2 linked regions of the Ovis aries genome follow. The protein of the gene in region 2 purifies or fractionates together with the protein of the main gene of each other region. This does not show direct contact. Links are inferred from orthologs where the notes say so. Each region holds a gene or a part of one and is shown on either strand. Other genes may lie near its edges. The genes, in order: KIF14 and KIFBP.

Region 1 (2,592 bases), on a different chromosome or scaffold from region 2:
CCAGCCATCCCACCCCACGCCCTGTCTCCCACACCGAGGGACGCTCCTAGAGTCCAAGTTTGAGATCCTTTCCTGGCTTAACCGCGCAAGGGCCAGGCTGTGGGGCCAGGTCTCTTCGATGGCCCATGAGATGCCCCGGCCCAGGCCCCGCCCTTCCCGCCTGGCCCCGCCCTTCCCGCCTGGCCCCGCCCTTCCCGCCTGGCCCCGCCCTTCCCGCCTGGCCCCGCCCTTCCCGCCTGGCCCCGCCCCAGGCCCCACCTCCAGCAGGCGCGCACGTGCAGTTCCTGCAGCGGCTTTCACTCCGCCCAGACCCGGCCAACCTCCCGCCGCTTCCCAGGCCGGACCTCGCCCGTCTCAACCTGTGGGTGGGGGGGCCTGCGGCCCGGCACCGGCCACTGCGCCGCACCGCTGCAGTGACCCACCGTCCCCTCCCGAAGGCCCGCGGCCGCTGTCTCCCGGCGTCTCGGGGCCCGGCCCGCCTGTCACCACCACTCAGGGAACAAGACGGAGAGACCTCCAGATCTGGGGTCCGGGCAGGACCCGACAGCGGCGGCGGCGGAGGGAGGTTCCCGTGTCACCAACCCGAGGCCGGGGGCACGGGCCCGCGCGGCCAGCGCCCACTGAGCCCCGCGAGGCTGGCGGCGGGAGTGAGCCGCGTGAGACTGGGCGTCATTCTGGAGGCGGTTCTTGAGTGGAGGAGCCAGGAGATGAGCTCAGAGATTAAGGAGAGTCTCTTGGAGGCTGGTGCGGGGCAGAGCGGGCAGGGGCCCGTGGACACGGGAGTGACGGGGACCTGGGAGTGACGGGTGACCCAGATGCGACTTTTCACAGGCATCCATTTATTACAACACATCTCATCAGCGCACATGATTCCAACAGAAAATATACTTACCAAAGTTGGTTTAAATACTGTGTAACAATCCAGAGTATAAATATATGTACATACAAAATTTTAAGACACTAAAAGGTTTCTGACCAGTGAAGTCCTGAGTTTAGAAAGCAGAAAGTGAGGATTAAACACTGAGCATCAAGATTAAAAACGACCACACCACTACCGTGGGAAGCTCCTCCAGGAGGAACAGCCTTCAGGAGAGGCCCTGCCTGCACTCCTGCTCTCCCTAAAACCTGACAGCACAGAGCCCCTTGGCAGAGCACTGCTATGACAGACGCGTGTGGGCCCTCAGAGCAAATGCAACTCAGATGCCAGAAATAGAAGAAAACACAAGAGCACGTTTTTCAAACTGCACCGTTTTAAAGCACCTGAAAACACATGGTTCACTAGCATTATGAGTAAGAACCCGTCACCGCGTGAGAATAAGTCTGCCCCCGGCACCGACTCCCACAGCCGTGCCGGGCTCACACACAGCATGTCTGCACGTGTGGGGGACAAGGGGCAATCTGGGCACTCAAAATAATTCTTGCCCAAGACCTGCTCGACCTCACTCACGCCAGGTCACTGGGTATCTCTTCAATTTACACACGTTTCGGCAGCTGAAATGTCAAATGATCTCCTTGAGGGATGAGCCCCAAAGTGCAATATTACCTCTATTATCTGATTGTAGATAAAGGTTTTTTTAAGTTCAGAGATATAATAAAGGTCTTAAATCTTCATCAAATCATGTACAAACTCCATGTGCCTTCATCAGACTAGAGTTATCAAGAGAAGACCTGGCCTCTGATTCCCCAACCCCATCCAACAGTTGAATTAATATTCAATCGGTTTGAAGTTACATTCACACAGCCCCTAACATGAAACCCCTGGCAGATAGAAGTGAGCTGGCATGGCAGCAAACCAGGTTATTAATATAAATTATACTATATTAGGAAGCTACTCATAATTTGCAAAGAAACAGGAAACTGTCCTGAACACACCATTCAGAATGGCAACCAGTTAATCTTCCAAGAAAAGGGCTGTCGATTAACAAGGCAGGTTAAGCTGCCCTGGTTAGACTTACTTTGGCAGCTTCCCCATAAAACTCATCGTAGCTACTGTATTTGCAAGGGAATGAAGATACAGGCATGAAGGCGTCCACTTAGAGGAAGTAACTTATCAGTCACCACAGCCCCATAAGGACCAGTACACACAGGCTAGTGAGCCAGCCCAAGGCCGCACACTCGCCTTAAAGGCGACCGTCAACACCTCCAGGCAGCCGACAAGGACCGCTCGCTCAGTCTTGAATCCCAGTTCCAGCCGACTGCCACGAAGCTGGCACGGGCAGCACCTGCCTTTCACCGTCTGCAGGGAATCGCGGCTGCACATCCAGGCATCTGGAACCAGCGTCCACACCCAGCAGCAGGCTGCCCACAGAACGGCTGGCTCTGGAGCAGGCCTACTGCTCTCGGGCGGGAGGAGATCCCTCCCCGGCGCTCTCCCGGGTGGGCAGCACACCCTGCTCTGAGCCCCCCAGGGCCGGGCCCGGGAGCTCGTACACCCGCTTGGGCACTCCTCGGGTCCTCTGGGGGCCGGGCCTGTCCGACCTGGGCTGCTCTTGTTCTGCTGCTCTGGGACCCTGATCGCAAGCTTCCCAGGGCCCCCACAAAACAAGTCCTTCTTCAAATTCAAAGCCCAAGAGCAGTGAGGTGGCGCGGGAC
Region 2 (3,822 bases):
CATTTGATCCCTTTTCAGGCAGTTAGATTCTATATGCCACAAGCTCTCATGTGTCACAACTAAGACCCAGTGCAGCTGAATACATAGCTAAATAAATACTTTTAAAATGTTGAACCTGAAGGTTTGTCTGAGTTGCTATAATCTCATGCTAAATTTTGACAGCTGAGGACTTGATTCTTAGGGATGAGCAAAGAAAGTGGTTTCTTGAGATGGTGTCTACTTCAGGTGAAGATACTGTGAAAATTGTTGAAATGACAACAAAGGAGTTAGAATATTACATAAACTTGATAAAGTAGTGGCAGGGTTTGAGAGGATTGACTGATTTTGAGAGAAGTTCTACTGTGGGTAAAATGCTATCAAACAGCATTGCATTCTACAGGAGACAGTGTTCCTGGAAGAAAGAGTCCATCAGTGCAGCAAACTTCTCTGTTGTCTCTTTTTAAGGAAGTGCTACATCCTCCCTACCCCAGCCTTCAGTAACCAGTACCCTGATCAGTCAGCTATCATCAATGAGGCAAGACCCTCTAACTAGCAAAAAAGATTATGACTCTCTGAAGCCTTAAATGATGTTTAGCATTTTTTTTAGCAATAAAGTATTTTTTAATTAAAATGTGTACATTTTAAGACAATGCTATTGCATACTTAATAGACTACACCATAGTGCAAACCTTAACTTTTATAAGCCACAGAAAACCAAAAATTCATGAGACTCATTTTATTGCAGTGATCTGGAACCAATCTTGCAATATCTGAGGTGCTTGTACTCAAAATTTAATGTATGTGGTAACCTTAGTTTCTACCTGTAGGTGATACAAAAGAAAAAAACTAGAAAGAACCTCTGGGTGGTAGGAATTTTGGGTGAGTTTCTTGCCGCTGCTTCAGGTAGGACTTGGTATTTTTATAATCAAGAGCGATATAAAGAAGAATGGTGTACACAGTGAAAATTACAGTTGTGACCATTGGCTCACACAAGTCACGTTGTACCTTTTAGCTACGGAAGCTGAAGGAGATGTGCCAGAGCTTTATCACCAGAGGAAAGGGGAAATAGCAAGATGCTGGATCAAGTACTGTTTGACTCTCATGCAGAATGCCCAGCTTTCCATGCAGGTAATACGGTCAAAAGTGATGTTTTCTGTCTTAAAACAGTAGGATGTAAGTAAAAGCTTGAAATGGGAAGTGTGCTCATTGGGCTCGCTGCATGTGTGTTATTCGTGGCGTGCGGAAAGCTTATTTCTTGCTTTCCCTGTCTCATCCTGTTCAAATCTTACTCTTCCATTAAGGCTGTCTCAAACAGCACCTCTTGCTTCAAGACTTGCCATTGGATAGAGCATAAGCCCCACCAGAGGGGAGTCTTCATCATATTCATACTATTTACCAATTTCTAGACGTAACAGGTGCTCAAAAACTATTGAATGTATATACAGTTCTTAAACCCTACGGATCTCTTCTCCCTCAAGAGCCCTCCCTAAGTCACTTGACTTTTTATTATTGTTACTCATATTCTTATCTTATTCCTTTACCTCTTCTTAGACTGTAAGCAACCTGATGGCAGGAAATCTTACTAATCTTTATATACTTTAGACAGTAAATATATATGCTGATAAAAGGATAAGTATGACTGTATCTGGAAACAGCCCTGCTAGTTGGTGGCTGTGTCTGTGTGGCAGTTAACTTCTTGTCTCAGTTTCCTCACAAGTAAGACGGAGATAATAATAGTACTTAATAGTGTTCCTGTGAGTTAAATATGTATAAAGGGCTCAGAAAGTGTCCAAGAGGTAACTAAGTCCTCAATCACTGTTAACTATCATTGTTGATACCATTATTATTAATCCATACTTAATGGATTCTAGTTCCTAATCAGAGCTCTGGTGGCTCAGATGGTAAAGAATCTGCTTGCAATGCAGGAGACCCAGATTCTATCCCTGGGTCAGGAAGATTCCCCTGGAGAAGGGACTGGCAACCTGTTCCAGTATTCTTGTCTAGAGAATTCCATGGGCAGAGAAGCCTGGAGGGCCACAGTCCCTGGGGTCACAAAGAGTCAGACACGGCTGAGAGACTAACGCTACAGAGAAAAACAAATCATTTGGATGCATATTCTCCAGGAGACTTTCCTGGAGGGGTTTCATGCCTCTTTTCTGTTTACATGCATTAAAGTTTAACCATTTTTTACTAGTAAATATAGAACCTTGTGAAACTACTATACAGAATAAAAGCAAACAAACCACAAAACCCCAGAAGCAGGAGTGTTTCAAAGGTGAGAGCACTTTGGAAGTCAAGGGTAAAGATGAGGCATATTTGGAAAAGGAAGGGTGTGGGGAGAAGAACTCGGGAGTCTTATGTCTAGAGAAATTGCAGCCTGGAAGATCTGTCAGCATTCTTCTGGTCAGAAAGCAGTCTAAAAATTGTGTAAATAAAGACGCCACCAGGAAGCACGGTAAGTAAACAAGATTAGAGGCGTAGGCCTGCATTTGAAGTGATTGTGTCAAGCAGAGTGCCCTGTGGCTTACTCTTGCCATTCCTTTAGTCTGTGCTTTCCAGACTGGGCACTGGAATTTACCACTTGCTTGTATGGCAGTCCACTCCAGTACTGTTGCCTGGAAAATCCCATGGACAGAGGAGCTTGGTAGGCTACAGTCCATGGCGTTGCAAAGAGTAGGACATGACTGAGCAACTTCACTTTACTTGTTTTAAACTCACATAGTGACCACACTGCTAACTTACTCAGATTTCCTTTAATCTGGCTGTTACCTTAGCTTCATCCTTTGATCATCTGCTTACCTGAAAAGCCTTCTTTAATTCAAGTTTAATAACATATACAAATTTAAGTATTTATTTCTGACAGGTTTATAGTAGTCATTGTACTATGATGAACAAAAATAGACCTAGTTTTTTATATCATATGGAAGTGCAACTTTAGTAAGTTCCACAAAGGAGAGACACAAGATATAAAAAGTCACAATGGGAGGAAGTAACATCTGAAGGAAGCTCTGGGAATGCGTAGGAATTTCTAGACTGGAGAAAAAGCACAGCATTCCGAGGAGCTGAAGCAGCATGTTGAAAAGTTCTGAGGTGTAGGGAGCATGGTGGTGGAAATGATGGAGCAAGGCCTGTGAGGCTGGAGCAGAGAGAGCATGTGTGATAGAAGACCGAGTTAGAGAAGGGCTGGAACATGCCGGGCCTTCCGTAACTGGAAGCCTTGGCGAGGGGTGGGAGGGTTTGGACTGATCACTCGGGTGGCAGAATGGAGGATTGAGGGAAGGCAAGCGTGGACGAGGAAGATTACTTAGGTCACTGGAACAGTAGGGGTGAGATGTGAAGGGAGCTTGGGCTAGGATGGTGGCAGAAGAGATGGTGGAAAAGAGTGGGTGCAAGAGGTTATTTAGGGGGCAAGACAGAAAGGATTTGATGATAGACACGAAGTGTGGGCTAAGAGAGGAGAGAGACATCAAGGATGATTCTCCCGCATCGGCTGGCTGTCCAGATCGAGGGAGTGACCTTCACTAAAATAAGAGTCGAATAGGAACCTGTTTGTGGAAGAGGGAGAGTTCCATTGTGGACATATTGAGGATGAGGGGTCCTAGTCTCCCCAGAGGAGCAGGAGGTATGTGAGGCGGTTTAGTTCTGGGTCTGGAGCCTAATAAGAGCCTGGTGTACCTGAAGATTTGTGGGTCCTCCTCCTGTGGATGACAGTTGCAACCATGGGCACAGATGGAGACAGCTGTGTAGAGCTGTGCTGAGCAATAGAAGTAGGAAACGAGCTACTTAGGTCACTTTAAGCTTTCTAGTGGCTACACTGTGCTCAGTGCTAAATCGCTTTAGTTG

What was found.
Region 1: the proteins of KIFBP (region 2) and KIF14 purify together in Homo sapiens (affinity purification with mass spectrometry; 3 studies listed by BioGRID and IntAct, counting the BioPlex papers as one, with this or other methods). This does not show direct contact. The link is inferred for Ovis aries from reciprocal best matches to the Homo sapiens genes KIFBP and KIF14.

The regions. Positions count from the first base shown.
Region 1 is NC_056065.1:78,650,584-78,653,175, forward strand, and holds the end of KIF14 (kinesin-like protein KIF14), read right to left. Parts: coding exon 2,331-2,592; 3' UTR 820-2,330; downstream 1-819. UniProt on the Homo sapiens protein: Microtubule motor protein that binds to microtubules with high affinity through each tubulin heterodimer and has an ATPase activity. Plays a role in many processes like cell division, cytokinesis and also in cell proliferation and apoptosis.
Region 2 is NC_056078.1:24,533,333-24,537,154, forward strand, and holds part of KIFBP (KIF-binding protein), read left to right. Parts: intron 1-991; coding exon 992-1,107; intron 1,108-3,822. UniProt on the Homo sapiens protein: Activator of KIF1B plus-end-directed microtubule motor activity. Required for organization of axonal microtubules, and axonal outgrowth and maintenance during peripheral and central nervous system development.